3 linked regions of the Saccharomyces cerevisiae S288C genome follow. The gene in region 1 interacts genetically with each later gene. Each region holds a gene or a part of one and is shown in the gene's direction. Other genes may lie near its edges.

Evidence for each region. Genes that interact genetically often act in the same process or in processes that back each other up.
Region 2: mutations in STB4 (region 1) and TAO3 together harm fitness more than expected from each alone (negative genetic interaction), as found in Saccharomyces cerevisiae (one large-scale study listed by BioGRID).
Region 3: mutations in STB4 (region 1) and YLR177W together harm fitness more than expected from each alone (negative genetic interaction), as found in Saccharomyces cerevisiae (one large-scale study listed by BioGRID).

The regions. Positions count from the first base shown.
Region 1 is NC_001145.3:310,039-316,212, forward strand, and holds STB4 (Stb4p), read left to right. Parts: upstream 1-2,117; coding exon 2,118-4,967; downstream 4,968-6,174. Other genes in the region: PEX9 (Pex9p), read left to right, coding at 170-1,714; FMS1 (polyamine oxidase), read left to right, coding at 5,339-6,174. UniProt on the Saccharomyces cerevisiae protein: Binds to SIN3.
Region 2 is NC_001141.2:106,666-115,495, reverse strand, and holds the start of TAO3 (Tao3p), read left to right. Parts: upstream 1-2,258; coding exon 2,259-8,830. Other genes in the region: MET18 (Met18p), read right to left, coding at 1-1,690. UniProt on the Saccharomyces cerevisiae protein: Seems to play a role in cell morphogenesis.
Region 3 is NC_001144.5:509,045-514,012, forward strand, and holds YLR177W (uncharacterized protein), read left to right. Parts: upstream 1-2,009; coding exon 2,010-3,896; downstream 3,897-4,968. Other genes in the region: RFX1 (Rfx1p), read right to left, coding at 1-1,188; TFS1 (Tfs1p), read right to left, coding at 4,118-4,777.

The DNA.
Region 1 (6,174 bases):
AGAAAACTTGGGGCAAAGCGCTCTTACCCCAATATTCTCACCCAAACAGTGGCAATAAATAAAGAAAAGGTCATCACTTTTTTTCGTACTCTTATCCGTTTTATTTTATTTTATTCTTTTTTTTTGAGTGGAGAATCATTAAGAATAAAGGGTACCTTTTGTAAGCACGATGAACGAAGTTACTTGTTCCATAACTGGTGACAACCCAATTCATAAGATCAACAATGGATTAGGCTTGAAATGGAATAATCTGGGTAAATTCTCTGATTTTCAGACTAACGATAGCGCCGCGCGAGATGCTAGAACAATAGATTACATCTTTACCAATTGTCAAACCGGCAGCAGTATTGGTAAGATAGATTTTCGGGCCGCACTACCGGCAGATAAATCTCAACATAGTGGTGTCAGCGAAAAAGAATTTTCAAGACTTGAGAACCAGTGGTCAAAGGAATTCTCTTGTTTCCCCAAGAATAAAAATGCTGATGTGACCAAGCCCAGTAGAAACAAACATGAGAAACGCTCCGCTAATTTGCACAATAGGTACTTTGCACAATATTATAGTACGGCATATCAGCAAAATCGTATATATCCTTGTCGAATATCTTACAATGAACACTCATCTGTTTCTAATGGCTGGGAATTTCAGTTCAAATCAATCGAAAATCAGTTACTAAATGAGCTAAAGATAGAAAACAATGTAGAAGAAAAAACTGTTGGTTATGAATATGTGGCAGAATACGAAGAAACAATTGATTTCATGCATATGCTGTCATCCGTACCACAAACATATCAATTCCTAAAATCAAACATCTACATAACGGAACGGGACCCATATAAAATAGGATGTGTACTAATGGACAACGGTTCCAATTTGAACGAAGTAGTAATGGCCTTTGAAGCAGCCATTTCACAAGATCCAAGCCATATAAATGCATGGTTGAAGTTAGGTATAGTTAATTTTGAAAATGAAAGCGAAAGCAATGGAGAGCTTGCTTTGCGAAATTGCTTAAATTTGGATCCAAATAATACAATTGCATTGGAAAACTTAGCAATTCACCATATAAATCAACAAAATGAATCAGAGTCATTGAAACTTTTTCACAAATGGATTCTTTCAAAATTTTCGAAGGTTTTCCAACCTTCTGCGGGGGAAAACAAAGATAGCATTAATAAAATTCCGAAAAAGGCCCATTTGGCGCATATTCTAGAATCCCTGTTGAATATGGGTATAGAAAAAAAAGATCAGTATGATATATATTCAGTATTATCAATCTTATATTATTCGGATCAGAAAATAAAGCAATCTCAGAAATGCTTAGAGTTTTTACTACTGGAAAAGCCCAATAATGGAACAATATGGAATAGATATGGTGCTATTTTGGCCAATACTAAGTCGTATCACTCTGCGATAAATGCGTACAATAAATGCAAACAACTAAGACCGAATTTTACAAGGGTTCGTTATAATTTAGCGATCGCCTACATGAATAAGGGTGACTATGTAAAAGCAAGCAAAATGCTAATCGAAGTTATACTGTTACGAAGTAAAGGATATGAACACAACAAAGCAAAAATGCAAAACAAATTTATGCAAAATTTAAAAAATGCTCTCATCGCTTCAAAAAATTTTGATTCACTTGATCTAATAAATGGTTCTCATAATACAGAATCGTTAATATCAACCTTAAAAGCTATTTATAACAAAATGGATTAGGTTTTAGTTAATTTTTTTGCTATATAGTGCATTCAAAATAAAAAAAATTAAAGCTGAAACAAACCAAATATGCTATTGGACGTTCGAAAAGCTAATTGCGTAAAGGAACACTAAACACAGCAAGCTTATGCTAGTTCTTCTCAAAAATATAAGTTCCTCTTGCAAGAATATGAAGGTAATTTCACTTTATCGCGCAAGTGCATATTTCTGAGTTTACTATGTGCTTCGTCTGAAACCTCTCATTATCTACTTAATATCGGCTATTCATCTCACGTATTCACGTAATATTTGATTTTTGTACTACTATTTCTCTCTGTCATACGTGCATGATACATTTCCTTGTTCAAATTAAAAGAGTCACCGTCAGCCTCTCAAAACAAAGAAAAAAGATACCCGGCTGAACATGAGTATCAATCATGAAATATATTATATACTTGTATTTGAGCATCGTTCAGTAGCAATCAAGCTCATCATCGTAGTGATTGTTCTCCTTCAGTTTTTTTTAGCACGAAGTCGGCAAATTGATAGGACATGGGCCCATACTAATAGAAAGGAACGGTTCAGAGAAATGACAGCTATCGGGAATACTGATGATGCACTTGATACTAGTACAGCCGCAAGTAAAGAAAATGGAAAAGGTAGACTCAGGGTTCAAAAAGCTTGTGAACTTTGCAAGAAGAGAAAGGTTAAATGCGACGGTAACAATCCTTGTCTGAACTGCTCTAAACATCAAAAAGAATGCCGTTATGATTTCAAAGCTACAAACCGTAAAAGAAGAAGACGACAGGTCGCATCAGCTGTTCGGGACGTTAGTAAGACATATGCAGAAACCAGTGAGTCTTTTCCTAGGGACTTGTTAAGTAAATCAAATATTATCATAAATGCCCCCTCAGATGGTGTATCTTCGTCTGCTAGCAACTCTCCCAATCCAAATTCACATTATCATCATATATCATCCACTTTACCCTTCATGAGCGGTAGGCCAAACCATACATTCCATTCCGGAAGCAACTTAAATGGAGAAAATAACAATAACAGTTTTCCGGAGGATCACATGGCTAAATTACTTCTGCAATTGAGTTCAAAATTGGGGAATACGACCAAGGAATCGTCAATTAGAACAACTAGAACCAATGCTAGTGATGTGAATGCAAACCCGACAGTGGTCAACATGAAAAATAGTCAGGAAGACTGTGACACGAATCACAGGTCTGCAATATGTGACTCTGCAGAGGCTCTTCATAATAACAACATCAATTCTAAAGAGAATAAGATAATCAACTCTCAAATAACTAACACTGTTAATGATCACTTTGAATCACCCTGGCAGACATTTTCTTTAGATAAGTATAGGTTTCACCGACGCTACCAAAATATTCTGCCCTATTACCTTGGTGTATCTATTTTAAAGGATCTATCTCCGCAGACAATAGAGTACGCGAAGTTGAAAAGGCCAAGAGTTCAAAACTATGGTTGGAACTTGTCAGGAGGCCATTACTTAAAGTATAAGGGTGACTTTAGAAGCCAAGAAAAAAATATAAGGCATGAGTCTAAATTTTTCGACTTTGATGACCCTGTTCACTTATCCTTAATCAATAAGTTACTAAGGTATTATTTTGATGAGATCAATCCTGTTTTCAGTATCATTCACGAAGCGACATTTTGGCAGCAATATAACAATAAATTTCTACGGCAAGGTAAACAAAATAATTCATCTGCGAATCTATTCACTTCCATGCTTTATCTAATTTTGTCTACTACACTAAGATTCAGAGAAGGGCATCTAGATGGTCAGAAAGGGCAAGGAACCTACAGTAACACATCCTTAAATATCACATTCGAGGAAAAATCTATTTTGATCAAAAAACCCTCCATAGAGGAAAATTTATTCAAATACGCTTATTTAATAATCAACACGCTGACCTTTGAGTGGGAATCATTCGAACTAATACAATCGTGGCTTTTGATAACCTTCTATTTCAGAACCTGTTACAGACAGACGGCGTGCTGGAACGCGTTAAGTCAAGCGGTGAACATGTGTAATGGGATGAGTCTATATTTAAACAAATTTCCTGAGATCCATTCCACTTATGATGAATCAAAAGCATGGCATTGTTTCTGGTGTTGTTTTATAATGGATAAGTTGATAAGTTTTCAAATGGGTCGATTCTACCAACTATCATTACCCGCGAGCGAGATGTGCGAACAGATGAATCTAGTGAAGTCAAAGAAATTTTTACAAGAAGAAGATGATTGGTTTCACGAAGAGACTTTTCAAATGCTTGATTTGTCCATAATAGTGACACAGTTTTTAAAAAGAGACGCACAGGATTTAAATTTGAACGAGACCGTGCAATTGCGCAGCCAACTTGGTCAATGGTATGACACCTTTATAGTTGGAAGTCAAACCAATGCGTACGACGACAATTATCGTTACTTCTATCAAGTTCAACCATTCATGACATACCTGGATATAAGGCTGACTTTCGAAGTAAGACAATTATTTTGTCTAATCGCCCCCTCATCTACCGCAAATAATAAATCCCTAGAATATGTCGTCGATACTGAATTGTTAATTTCTCATTGTCAAATGGCTATTGAAAATTTGGCTGAAATTACGAGAAGTAATCTTTTCTTTGTTCCGTGGTGGTTAAACCTTTCTCAACTATTCACGGTAAATTTAATATGTATTATCTACCTGCACGCAGGGATTGCCGTAACTCAAAATAAAGCTATCATGCAAAGCTGCCAAGAAATATGGCGAACCTTAGAGTGCTCTAAGCCAAAAAATCGGCCTTCAATGCTTCCTGAGTGCTTGTGGTGTTTGAAAATGCTGAATCATATGTTCTGCATACGACTGAGAGATTCTGCTTTGCAATTGGAAGCTACTCTCGGAACTGATCATGGTGATGACACCCCTAATAGAAATAAGTTTGAGCAGTTCAAGAAAGTTGGCGATAATGATGCGGATGTTGAAGTTGATGCTGGTGAAAGAGAAGAAAATGCTGATGAAAGACAAGAAAATCCACATAACAATAGCAAAAGAGTACCATTAGCTACTAGGTCTCATAATACCACTAACTTCGACGGTTCAATCGCAATTTCTCCGGAAAGTGCAGTAGCAAATCTAGGTACTGATACTGGATTGCCCTCAGATGTTCTTGATACTGTCAGTAAAATAGGGAACTCTCCTAATGTGTTTGATGATGATTTATTTTCCAATTTATTATGGTTTGACCAAAATTTTGCATAAGGATTCTTTTTCTATTCCATAAAACCATTTTATGGACACGTTTACCTACATATTATTATATTGTATATAAGATGTTGAAAAAATTGAGTCAACCTCACCTTACCACATGTTGGTCCGTTGCTATGACAAACTCTCGTTTTACAAGAAGGAGGCTCAAATTTCGGGTCACCCACCCATATACGGATGTCACGCTATGAGATCTTTTAAACAATAGACAATTTTTGGTATCCTAAAGATATAAAAGAGGAGTTTTTTTAAACCATGGTAACTATTTTCAAATTTGCTCTGCTGCAGTTTTTTATTTCTGTTTTTCTTTTTTTGTTCCCAACAAGAAGTGAGTTAATAAAGGCAAAAACAGTGGTCGTGTGAGAATGAATACAGTTTCACCAGCCAAAAAAAAGGTTATTATAATTGGTGCCGGTATTGCTGGGCTTAAAGCTGCATCTACGCTACACCAAAACGGTATTCAAGATTGTCTTGTTCTTGAGGCCAGAGATCGGGTCGGTGGTAGGTTGCAAACTGTCACAGGCTATCAAGGTCGGAAATATGATATAGGTGCTAGCTGGCACCATGATACGTTGACAAACCCTTTATTTTTGGAAGAGGCTCAACTGAGTTTGAATGATGGGAGAACGAGGTTTGTTTTTGATGACGATAATTTTATTTATATCGACGAAGAACGTGGAAGGGTAGACCATGACAAGGAACTGCTTCTTGAAATTGTGGACAATGAAATGAGCAAATTCGCAGAGTTAGAATTCCATCAACACTTAGGAGTTTCAGATTGCTCCTTTTTTCAATTAGTAATGAAATACTTACTACAAAGACGCCAATTTCTCACAAATGACCAAATAAGATATTTGCCACAACTCTGTCGATATCTGGAATTGTGGCACGGCTTAGATTGGAAGCTTTTGAGTGCCAAGGATACATACTTCGGTCACCAAGGAAGGAACGCCTTTGCTTTGAACTATGATTCTGTGGTTCAAAGAATTGCTCAAAGCTTTCCTCAAAATTGGTTAAAGCTAAGTTGTGAAGTGAAATCAATTACACGAGAACCTTCAAAAAATGTGACAGTGAACTGTGAAGATGGTACTGTGTACAATGCTGATTATGTTATTATTACAGTACCTCAAAGTGTATTGAATTTGTCTGTACAACCTGAAAAAAATTTACGGGGAAGAATAGAATTTCAACCACCCTTGAA
Region 2 (8,830 bases), on another chromosome or scaffold:
TTTTTTCCTCGAAGCAATCAGGTAACAAATCCAATAATTTCTTCAATGATATTTCAAAAACTAAATCCTCATATATCTCACTGATTGTCTTTAACCCTTCCAAACAAGCATAGTAAATGTTTTTGTTGTTATCCGTTAATATTTCTTCCGTGAAGTATTGAATAATTAGTGAAACTTCCTCTGGGGTTAAAAAGCCCTTCATTTTAATCATTTTTGTGAATTGAATCACAGATAGAGTCCTTATGGTAACCTCTGCCTTGGAGCTTCTTGTCAAGGCCATGCTCAAAATCATTATGATCTCGTCTTTGTATTCAGCCATTTTATTATTTGGCACCGGTGTTCCCAACGATTCTTTAGATGTTCTTCCAAACAAATCAATGTACGAGTCAACAAAAAAAGAAAAATTCATAATCAGCAGCTTAAGTTTGGCAACTTCAGATGTATTGATCAAAAATAAGGGGAAAGTTGACGAAATGACCTTGTTAAATATCTCGACATTCCCACTACCTATAGCGGACAAAATCTGGCAGGTTTGCTTCAAATCCTTTTCATATTTAAAATTTGGTTTCAACTCATCTAATACATGAGTGAAGAACTTTTCAAATGATACTTTGTCAAAATTGTATAGTTGCAATGCCATTAGATTAATAATTTTCAAGCAAGCATCGTAGTTAGTATATTGGCCCACATCATCACTCTGTTGGTCTTTATTGTACGGATTTAGTAGAGTGTTTTCATTTCCTTCGCTGTTTTGCATAATTTCAAATTTCAAAGCGTTCCAAAGTAACGTCCAATTTTCCAATATAGAAGAGCCGCCGAATTTTCTAACGCATTCTAATAGCGTCAGAAGTGTATCATTTTTCACTACCGGTGAAGAAGCAGTGAGTTTGTCCAGCAAATTGCTATAAGCATCTTCGGCAAATAATGGCGTCGCAGTAATTGCTGATCGCAAAGCTGTTTTTAAATCTTGGTTGGAGATCTTGTAAGGATCATGCTTTGGTGGCTTGAAAGTGATTGGGAAATAGCAAAATAAGACATCAAATAAGTCTTCTTTAAAATTCTCCACGTTTTGCAAGGACGATGTGATAGATTTATTAAGTGCAAATGACAAGAGTAAATTTCTAGGGTCTTTTTCACCATTGGCAACATGAAGAAATGTTTCAATAAACAAATCGTTGATTCGTTTGACTTGTTCGGTCGAGGATCCATTGACGAAAAATCTATCAAATATTTTTCTCAAAATTTTAAATGGCCACAGTCTAGTTGATGCCAAATGCTGGCCTTGTTGATAGTTGTCCAATAATAATCTCAAAAGTTGGGCTATCTCGTTAATGGAGACATATTTCATTGGAGCTAATGCGGCGAAGCCCTCCAAGACTTCTTTTGCAAGCGCTTGATCATCAAGCTTAGACTGGTAAAACTGAAATATTACTGAGCATTCGTTTTTGGAGAGGTGGTCCTTGGGAGTTTTTGCTAAGATAGTGGTTAAACATGTCAACGCTTTCTTCCTTTCTACCTCATTTTCTGAAAGAAAATAATCTTTCAACGCAACGACAACTTCCAGCAATTTTATTGATCGGTGTACAATAGAATCCGTTACTGTGGAAGCGGTTTCGTTGGCCTTCGAATCATCAATATTCAGATTGGCCATAAAGGTGACGACTGCTGAATTTAGTTCGTCTGGTGTCATTGTAAGGCCCAATTGTTCCGCTTTTTCCCAGTTAAAACAAGTTCAATGAAAACTAACAGCTAATAACTAGATGATCATAGAGGTGACTCCTTCATTGCACGTAAAATGTACATAATCTACAATTCACTTAAATAACTAAACCAAATTTCAGTATTTGAAAAATTCATACCTATTACCCGCTTTTAACTTTTTCTTGGCTACTCACTCATGAAGGCCTAAAAAGAAGCTGCAAAGTGGTATTACCTATCTCGAAGTATGTCCTAGCTCTCTTTGACTCATTGAGGTCACCTAGAGTATACCATCCCTTCCAAATTAGCGGTATCAACATCACATACATTGGGAGTTGGTTGAATCGTTATGGTTGTATCACTAACCACGAAACGACAGCCACACAGGAAAATACATATAGAACTGTAGAAATTGGGATAAAGGATTAGGCAAATGAAGAGAGAAAGCAAATGTGGATTTAGGTCTTCATAATAGGACGTGACTGGTTAAAGTGTGAAAATTCTGGTTGTTTGTTGTGTTCCCATTTTAATAACCCTTTTTAGTTTTGTTATACATCAAAATGGCCTCGAGATTTACTTTCCCGCCCCAGAGGGATCAAGGCATTGGTTTCACCTTCCCACCGACAAATAAAGCAGAAGGTTCTAGCAACAATAACCAGATATCAATAGATATTGATCCTTCAGGCCAGGATGTCTTGGAGGAAATAAACGAAGCGCCACTTAACACATTTCCTCTTCACCAATCCGTTACGGATGCACCTATTATTGATATTCCATCTCCTACTGATATGTCTGAAGGCACCTCTCTAAATAATCAATTACTTTTACGGCAACAACAGCAACAAGGAACGGGGGAAGGTCAAGCTCTTCCGCCTACCTTTGTTGAGGAGCAAAGTGATCAAAACAAGATTTCAATGCTACTACCTGAACAAAAGCAGCAAAGAATGCAAGAATCAGCACCGCCGGACATTACAGCAAAATCAGTAGCAGAGGACTACGTGACTACTTTGAGACAGCAAATGGCTACAGATTGGAAAAGTCCCTCTGAATATGCTCTTCATATACTTTTTACAAAGTTTATTCGTTACGCGGAGAACAAACTAAATATGTGTCTACAGCAGTTGGACATGGCGGAACCCCCAATTGTAGAAATTCTTGGTGAAGGCGTTGATCCCAGCTTTGATGAAATTATTAAATCTCTAGGTCACATTGCAAAGAAAAAACCGAAACCTGTGATTGATGCAATGATGTTTTGGAGGAAGACTAAATCTGAAGCGGCCAACTCTGCTTCAGAAGAAATGGAAAAACTATTAAAAGAGTATGAGTTTGAAAAGGCACATCCCTCGCAGGCTCATTTTTTAATGAATAGGCGGCTATCAAGATCTTCCAGTAATACAACCTCAAAGTACAAACATAATAACAATACCAATAATCTTCCTGGCATGAAAAGGCACGTTTCCTCATCTTTCAACAACAAAGTTCCGTTAATCAAAGCTAGTAGCAGTAACAATAGCGCTACTTCAAGTCCATCCATAGCGAACTCACAATTGAAAAGTTTAGAGAACACAATTGAAGTAGCAAAAGAAGAAGCATTCCTTGCAGATAGGAAATCTCTGATTAGTATATACATCCTATGCAGGGTGCTAAATGAAATTGTTAAGCAGGCTTCCAGCAATGAAGAAGAAGATTTATCTGATAAGCTAGAAGAGATTGTTTTTACTCAGTTAAAAACTACTGATCCACTTTCTATATCAACTAGTTTAATTAAGTCTTCGAATTGGAATTCTTTTGCCGAACTACTGGGCTCTATGTCTGAAAAGAAATTTTTGTCAGTTAGTGATCGATTTATAGCTGATCTAGAAAAAATCCCGGCGTATATACCTCCCGAGTTAGAGCCAAGTACTCATTTGTTGATTCTTGGTATGAGATATTTGAAGTTAAGAAATTATCCGTTGGAGAAATTTGAAGAAAGTGCAGATTTCATGAAAAGTTTATCAAAGTTCTTCGCAAAGACTGAAAATTTTCCGGTTTGTTTGGCGTATGCTGAAGTCACTAACCAGCTATTGTTGCCTTTGGCTGGCTCGTTGACGGCAGAAGTTAATCATCCAACGTGGGTAGAGGCAATGTCTACTTTACTGAACACTGCCAAGAGGCTACAAGCTGATAGTAAGTATTGGGTAAGTGGTTTCAAATTAACAGTTTCTATTTTGTGTGCATCACCACCAGACCTATTTTCTAAACAATGGCTATCGTTGTTGGAGGCAAATGCCTCAAAAGTTAAGTCCAAAAGTCTGAATGAAAGGATTATCTTTGCAGTTGGTTTATCCAGATTAGTTTGGGTCTATTTATATAGATGCCCAGAAACTTTAAATAATACTACAAGGACGCTTACCAAGCTTTTACAACTATATCTAAACACAAGGAAAAAAGAGAATTGGATAACCGGCGATTTTGGTCTCTTGAACCCATTGACAGACGCGTTAATATCAATTGGATTTTTACATCCGAATTTTTTAATGGAACAAGCTTTAATTCCATTGATACGGCAATCTTTCAATGGCTCTAACCTGGAAAATATCAATTACGAAAAACTGATTTTGACTATAAATACATACAAAGGATTGCTGGTTACAAAAGAGAGGCCAAGGTTTCCTGAGGATGATAACAGGCTTTATGAACTAAATTTAAACAATATTACAGTGAATCAGGTTCAAGAAGCCTCTTCCATAAACCATACAGAAATATCAGATTACTTTTATAAATTATTCCTTTTATTGGATTCTAGCATCGGTTCTGAAGTTTGGTCTCCTGAAAATCAGCACCAAAAGCAATCATCAAACGCATTCAGCCCATTTGGCTTTAGCTTTTCTAATGACAATGACTCAAGTAAAAATAAGTCGCTTTATGTTATATTGTTCGGCACCATCATTGAAGCTATACCATGTTGCCTTTCTATTTCACGCACTATCCCATATAAATCTACAATTGAGATTTTATCAAGGAACGCTGTTCATTCGGAGGTAATTATTTCTTCTAGCAGTCAAAATGCACTAAGAGCATTAGCATCTAAGAAGAATCCATACACCCTAATCACATGGTTTGCTAAATATTCATTTGATTTCGATGAAAAGACACAATCAAGTTATAACATGTCGTACTTGTCATCAAAGGAGTACAACAGATTATTGATACTTTATGTTGAGCTTTTGGAATGCTGGTTAGAAGAATTCCAATCGTCCAATAAAGAGGAAAATAAAAAAGAAACTGGTTTGGATGGAATTCGCTTGTTGCCGATCGATGCAGAACAAGAGGAGAGTAACGAAACCGAAAAACTGGAGTGGAAAAATACAGTTACAGTTATTGAAGAAGTAGAAGGGAATGGCTTATTTTTTCTTTGTTCACACGATGCAAAAATTCGTAGATTGGGCATCCAGATATTGAGAATTATTTTCAAGTTTGACGAAGCGATGATGGAGAAAACAGAGAAATTGTCAAACGGGCATTCTAGATCATCATCCCATTTTGCAGCTGATCGCGGAACAAGACTTATTGATTTATTAAATGAGTGTAATACCACTACCTTAATTAATCCACATAAAGCAACATTAAGTGCGGTTGAAAAAACGAGATTCAGTCGACTGAATTCTAAATATAAAAGAGGTCTACTTATCAAACTGGCCGAATCAGAGTACGGAGTAGATGCTGCACTATGGCAAAGGGCTTTTCCTAAATTACTGGCGTTGGTTTTCAAAACTTGTCCTATGGCGATGGCATTGTGTCGATCTATCGTTTGTATAAGACTTGTGCAAGTACACGAAATAATTCTGCGGGTAGCAAATGATGTTGATTTCAAACTCAAAAATGTTTTACCGGAAACAATAGTAAACCAATGGAAGCTATATTTGATTGCCGCATGTACTTCATTAACTTCCACGTTTGACCAAAAACTGCATATTCCGTCCAATATTCCTCAGCATGGCAGGAAAAAAAGTCAACAAATCTTTACTGTTCAGCACCAAAAAATCAAATCTGCGAAATCAATCTTCAAGATGGTTCTTCCCTTATTAAATGCAAAGTATATTATGATTAGGGATGCTATAATAACGGGGCTAAGCTCAATGAATATCAACATTTTTAAAGCATATGTGGAGGCAATTGATGTATTTTTAGTGGCATGGAAAGAAGGGAGCTCCAACAACCAAATCAGAGTGGAGATGTTTCATATTTTGACGATTTTATCGCCGTACTTAAAATCGGATATGATATTTAATGACGAATGGATACTTCGGAAATTATCAGAGTTTTTGCAGAAGACAAAACAGTTCCTCGAGAAGGATTCTGTGCAAATCTCCTACGAATATCAATCGCTGCGAAGCTACTTTGCAGGTCTTATATTGAGCTACTATATGGCAGTAAGAGAGCATCCGCTAATAGATGAATTATTTCCCTTCCAAGCACGCGCATCATGTTTCAATTTCTTGAAGGAATGGTGTGGTTATGGTGAGTACGAGCCAATATCTGAAGAAAGATATGCCATAATGATAAAAAATACAGAGAGTGGCAGAGATAGAACCGCTATTACAACTGGAATAGAATTCCAAAAAAACAGATTGCAGATGATCGTGCTAGAGACTATGGTTGTTTTATGTTCAGATCCAATAACCCAAACATTGGACGATGATTTAGAGTTGCCTATTGTGATTTCATTCGATACTGAAGATTTACTTGCTTGGATTGAAGCACTATTTGACTCGGACAATACTACTGTAAAAAATCTTGGTGTGCGTGCTTTGGAGAATCTCCTGGACAAAAATAGGGAAAATTTTAAACTATTTAGAGATGTTGCTTTCCAATGTGTTTCACACCACTCACATCCTTCGGTAGCTGTTTTATATTACACTACACTTTGTAAATCCGTTTTGAAATTGGATAATTTGGTTTTAGATGAAGATGAATTAGTCTCCTTGGGTTTGTATGGTTTAGTGGCAGATAAGGAAGATACAAGGACATTTGCTGTTGATCTACTTTCAGCTGTTGAAACGAAATTACATAATTCTTCTTATACCAAGGTATTTAAGGAGAGACTTGCAAATTCTTCAAAGACGGTTTACAAATCAACTGCAAAAGAAATTTCTAGCATATTTGCCGAACTGCTCTCTCAGGATTTGTGTTTGAGAATATTTTCCAGTTTGGTTAGAATACTTGATTTGTTTCCTTTCGAAATAAAAAGAGATTTGTTGGTGCTTATGGTACCTTGGGTAAACAAATTTACATTGAAATCTTTAGAAGAGTTGGACACGTTTATGGTATTGAATAACCTATTTTACATCACTATTGATCTTAACGACTCTTTACCGAACGAAGTAGAGCAGCTATGGATTTCTCTTGGCAAGGGTAATTCTTTCCAAAATATACACGTATCGCTGGAGTACATCATAAATTCTTCAATGAATCACTGCAATCCATTGTTTGTTCAGTATGCTAGAGATATTGTATTGTATTTGGCAAATATTCCTGGTGGCATTGGACTACTTGACACTCTATTGAATAATTTAGAACCGAAATACATGGTTCCTTTAGCGAAACATACGTTTAATGAGCCAATGAATAATAATAAGTATTCCTTTTTAGGGAATATCTGGGAACGACTAAATTACAATGGGAAAAGAATCATTTTTTCGAAGGCGCAGCTTTCGATTATCTTTTTAGTCAATTTGTTAACGAACTTGAGTGAATCTGTAAAGGCGAAAATTCCTCTTCTACTACATATGTCCATTTGCTTGCTTGACCATTATGTGCCGCTTATTCACGAAAGCGCGTGTAAAATTGCATCTACATTAATATTTGGATTGGCACCAAGTCACGAAAAGTCTGAGGAAACCGTGAAACTACTAAGAAATAAGCATGCCTTATGGTCATATGATAACTTGATGAAAAAAGGTGCAAGATCACCAAAAACTATGGACCTATTAATTAGGAACATAATCTCTATATTCTCGGACTTAGATGAATTTCAAGTAACTTGGCAAAGAATTGCCTTGAAGTGGGCTACCACTTGCTCAGTTAGGCACATAGCGTGCAGGTCATTTCAAATATTTAGATCATTATTGACATTTTTAGATCAGGAAATGTTGCGTGATATGCTTCATAGACTTTCGAACACTATATCGGATGGAAATGTCGATATACAAGGATTTGCCATGCAGATCTTGATGACTTTGAATGCAATCATGGCCGAACTTGATCCGACGAATTTGATCAGTTTCCCGCAGTTATTTTGGTCCATTACAGCATGTTTGAGCAGCATTCACGAACAAGAATTCATTGAAGTGCTGTCATGTTTAAGTAAATTCATTTCCAAGATCGATTTGGATTCTCCTGATACCGTACAGTGTTTGGTTGCGATCTTTCCTTCCAATTGGGAAGGTCGCTTTGATGGCTTGCAACAAATAGTTATGACTGGATTGCGATCAGCGAATTCCTTAGAGATTACGTGGAAATTTTTGGATAAGTTAAATTTGTTGAAAGATAGCCGAATTATAGCAAATACAGAGTCTAGGCTGCTTTTCGCATTAATAGCAAACCTTCCGAGATTTTTGAATGCAATGGATCGCAAAGATTTTACGGGCATTCAGGTTGCTGCAGATTCGTTAATTGAACTTGCAAATGCGTACAAACAACCTTCTCTTTCCCGTTTGATAGATTCTCTAGCAAAGAACAAGTTTAGATCAAAGAAAGATTTCATGAGCCAAGTAGTGAGTTTCATATCTAGAAACTACTTCCCCTCGTACTCCGCTCAAACGTTAGTGTTCCTTCTGGGTCTTCTGTTCAATAAAATAGGATGGATCAGAGTTCAAACTCTGGAAATTTTAAAATATGTTTTTCCTTTAATTGACTTAAGAAGGCCAGAATTTATTGGTGTCGGTGCTGATTTGATTTCTCCGTTACTCAGGTTACTATTTACTGAATACGAAGCAAAGGCCTTGGAAGTTTTAGATTGCGTACCAAATGTTTCTGGAAGTAAAATGGATAAGGATGTTTTAAGGATAACCATGGGAAATAAGGATGTGAAAGACGGCGATAATGCTACCACTACCTTGTTTGGTTTGCCTGAAGATAGCGGTTGGTCTGT
Region 3 (4,968 bases), on another chromosome or scaffold:
CGAAGGTGAAGAGGGCGATGGAGACGATAGGGGCGATATGGGATCGTTATTGTGTACTAAGGATAACGAAGCATTGTTGTTATTAAGGGACACGGAGCCGCTTTCGTTGACAGTTAGTTTCAATCCGCAGTAGTGGTATTTGGATTGACCTCTCATACCCAGCCTTCTAGTCGTTAAATCAGGAAAAACTGTTCTTATCAACTTCCCTAATGACGCCTGTGATAAGGGCTTCAGGTTGTTTTGGGAACAAGATGAAGCGTATTGAGCAAATATTTTGCCTCTTGGTACGTAACTATCGTGCTGAGATTTACAATTTTTCATTAACCAAAGTAACGCAAACACTTGTCTTTCTCTTTCTCTGTTTTGTTCCGCCAGCTGCAAAGCTGCCTTTGAAGTGTTCTGTGAGTCCATGCTCAGGACTTTGATTTCTGCATGCTTCACGATCTGCGCATACTCCTCGATGGTTTTAGATTTGTTATTTTCTGCAATTTGCTTAGCAATTATTTCTTGCGTGTTTCTCCTTGAAATGGAAGAGATTCGTTTCTCTTGGCTTGTTTTCTGTTTTTTCGTACTGCTTGGAATTGAGGGGAAGGTATTGGTACGTTTGGCAGCAGTAGGAGGATTATTGTTTAAGGTTTCCTCTGACTTGAAAGAAAGTGGGTAAGCAGATGAATTCGATCTATTCAGGCTGATAGACGCTGGATACACTGAGTATGTGGCAGGTTGCCGTTGTGTTGCGGGTTGTGCAGGAGGCTGTGTAGGGGTAGGAGATGGTTTATGGGAGCCGGGACCACTACCGATAAGTGGCGGTAATATTGGATTTGGCGTCTCCGGGCGGGGGGAACTTTGGTGTAGCAGGCTGTATATTGACGATGATTTGCTCGCTATGGGCGGGATATTCACTGACATGGGGGGCAAATAAGTGTGTGATGCTGGCGGTGGTTGGCTGCTGTACTTGGGTGCGTTTAAACTGTACCGATTACTGTTTACCGAAGATCCGTTACTTGGACCGTTGCTATTGTCGTTCGAGCCCCGACTAGTAGGTTCAATGTTATTATCACCGGACATGGGCAAATAAAATTCAAAATAATGAACAGACAAAAAACTAGGCGAGAAGATGAAGTACTTGGCAGGTATTTTTCTAGTGAAAAGGTTTTCTGTTGGTTTGCGTTCTTTGAAGATTACCATTTACTGCTATTTTTTTTTTCAACTTTTTCCCAAATCGCCATGACAACACGAAACGACAGGAGAAAAATTACGAAATCAAAAACAGGTTCAACTGTTGCAGCAATAGACACCACAAACGTGCGCAAGAAACCGCAACGAAGGGGAGGTGACCGTGCTTGAAATAAAATCCGAAGATCCATAGGTGAGCCACGAGTTTGATTCCAAACTCGTGGTTTTACCAACGAAGCTGTATATCGTGGAGTGGCGCTACCATTGGACCTTCGTTTCTTCTTTCCCTCTTCCGCACCGTACCAGATAGGAAAAACCGCACCTTCGTTTTTGCATACCTAGATGGTCCTGTAACAAGAATAGAGCTAAAGAAACAAGTATGCGTCGACTGCTGCCACGCCCGGCTGATTTAGGTGCACATCAGCTACCCAGCATACAAAGGGGCTTCCGTACGGTTGATGGTTATTTTTCTTGGTGTGTTGGTGCTGCTGTATCGCTGGTGCTGTCTGCGTTATTACGACTATCGTAGGACAAGGCCTCGAGAGGTGTAGGGTAAATCCCACTTGCACAAAGTATGTACACACTTGATTATCCAAATACCAAGAGAGTGTGGTTCAATTTACGGGCAGCTCGAGCTGCCCGTAAATTGAACCTTCCCCTTCCCCACGCTCAAGGGGTTCCTGCGCCGGTGTTTCAGGGGCAGGACACGCGGGGATCGCTGGCACAGTATATAAACAATAAAAGAACAATGGAGAGAGGAGGCGCCATTCAATATCAGCTCACTAGAGTGCATAGACGTATAGACACAGGAATAAAGATAGAAATAGGGTACCATGGAGCTGCCTTCAATAAATAGCACCACAAGTATATCCGACAACCAGGAGTTAAGGAATTACTATGACAAGTTGCTGTTCAAGAACAATAGTGGCAAGTCGCTAGCGGATTTGCCAGGAAAAATGGCAGATTTTAACGACAACAGCGCTGCTGCGCATCCCCGCTCCAGAGTTGACTTTATCAACGGTTACATCGGTTTCAGAGAGGATAAGCAGTCTCTTCTGGGGCAGAAGAACACTAAAAGGGCCTCGTTCAGCGCATTTGCGGACGAAGGAAGGAAACAGAGCGAGATGAGCATTAACGGGAAGAGCCCTAATTTGTCTCTTTTCTCATTTGAGTTTAACGGCACCCCGACTCAGGACAGAAAGCCATACAAACAGGATTACTTGAATGTGATGAACACTTCGCCTAACAATATTCTTTCTCCCTTAAACAACAGCTCCCAAAAATACTATCCACAGAAACAGCAGCAGCAGCAGCAGCAGCAGCAGCAGCAACAGCAACAAAGCATCTTTGACCCGGGAAGAAGATCTTCCTATATTTCTGATGCGCTGATTCATGGCAATGCGGCTACCCAGCAACCACAATACTCGCAACCTGTATATATTAACAACAACCCATCTTTGCAAGTACCATACACTGCTCCTTCCGAGTATACTCAGCAGCAACAGTACTCGTCACCCTTCAATGCTAGGCGCAACACCCAGCCAGTGCTGAACTTGCATCCGGCAGCCGCTCCCACAAACGATGCCGGATTGGCGGTTGTCGACGGCAAGAATTTGACGTCATCCAAGGAGCTGCATGACTTATATCTTGACTGCGGGTCAAACTATTTTGCTAGTGATAAAGTTTATAAATTTATTGACAGCATAAAGGGAACTTTACGCGGGGATAATGTCTCCGCCTCCAGTTCCAGGATTATAGAGTTTTTGGATTTTTTGAAAAATTGTAATCTGAATTACAACCCACAGTCTGACGCATTCATCTCCACTGCTGTTTCAAACGCTTCGTCGACCGGGGCGGCCAAATCCAAGAACAGCACTTCAATGCATTTGCACTATAAGCCATTAGTGTTAGTATCGTTGAAAAATGGTAAGCTCGAACTGTTGTCTAAACCACAAACGGCCACACTTATACTGAAAAGGGGCGATTTGGTCATTATTGATGGTGATCGTGGTAAAGATTTAGTTTTGGTGGTGGAACCGGTTGTAGATATAAATTTGGCACTATTTATAAATTTTTTGAAGAAAAAAATTCACTTTGATTCTCTAATCACCAATAGTCAACAGCATTTCCCCAATGACCAGTTTATCAAGACTCTGGTTGATACAACCAATGGTAAGCCGGTCGCTCATGAGTTGAATCCGAAGTTATATGATATCATTGAACTAACGCAATTGATCATCCCATCAAAGCAGGTTCTGAGATTTGCCACCCCGTGGGAATCCTCCACGAATTTACACAACAAATTCCAGGATGAGCTAAAGGCTCTTCACATTGCACAGCTAAAACTGAGGTCGCTAAATAACAATAACTCCGGTGGCGGGTTGAACATCAAAATATTGAATGCAGAGTTCCAATTCGACAGAAAGAAATTGACTTTCTACTACATTTGCCAGGAGCGTAATGATTTCAGAGACCTGATCAAAGAACTCTTTAAGTTTTACAAAACAAGAATTTGGCTTTGTGCTATACCGAACAATTTATCGATAGATTCCAAATTTTATGATTCAAACAAGTTTGAGTGGGAGATGTATCAGGATATGATGTCCCACTATTCCATGGACAACACTGGAATTGTCGTGGCCCCTGAACTGAATCGCTTGAAACTGGACGACTTCCAGATCGGTGTTTATATGGAATTGGTGAAGGTTTTGTTCGGCTAACCCAAACTTATATAATCATTATAAACATTTTATAAACTTATACACTTTTTTAATAATCTCACCATGTTTTTCTTATGTGTTTTGTTTGACAATGACATTACTCCCTACAAACATGTGCGCGTTTGTGACAAAAACATAAATAAAACAAAAATAATAAAAAGTCAAGTGAAAAGCACTGAAATCTAAAAAATAAATACATATACATATATATATATATATACCTATTTCGTTTCCGCATAGAAGAAATTGGAGGCAACTAGTTGCAGGTTGTTTTCCTTAGCCCATTTGCCAACACCGGTGGCAGGGGTGCCGTAACCCCAGTTCGGTCTATCCTTAATTTTCGAGAACTTAGATGAGTCCACGCCCTTAGGCTGCTTATATAACAAGAAAACATATCTGTGGGGACCGGATCCCTTGGGTGGAGCTGGTCCCATATATTCTATTAGTGTGTTCGAGCCCTTCGTATTGAACTCTGATGCAAAAAATTCGGTTGCTCCGGAGGTCTCGTGAGTAGCCTCATTCAACAGCTTTAAGTCGCATTCTACCAAGTGGCAGAATTCAGACCACTTGTGATCTGTCTTAGAGGGAGCATCCGGATCGGTCATTACCAGTGTGAACAAATCGTCGTCTTGGGGAACGTACGCATTCGCCTGTGGTACGCTTTTTTGCATTTGCTTATTGAACGTGAACTGGAATTGGGGCTTGGAACGTGCCTTCTCAGTGGGCAGCGTGTTACCCATGGCAACAGGTGCACTTGATGAGTACTCTACGGCAAGTATCCCGGAGGGTTGAAAGCTTGTGTCATGAATTACATCCTCCAGAATGCCGTGCTTCTTGTAGGAGTCAATGCTTGCTTGTGCGAAGTCTATTGCTTGGTTCATGTTTTTTGCTTGTTCTCTTGTTCTTGTATTGATGCACTGGTAGGGAAAAGGAGCACTGCAATTCGTTTCTTGCTGCCCCCTTTTTATATACCAATTGAGATCTTTCCTTCCCTGAACAGCCCCTCTATCCCTTAAAAGATAGAAAAGTTCAAAGGGATAGGAAAAATCAACGAGCCAAAAAAAAAAAAAAC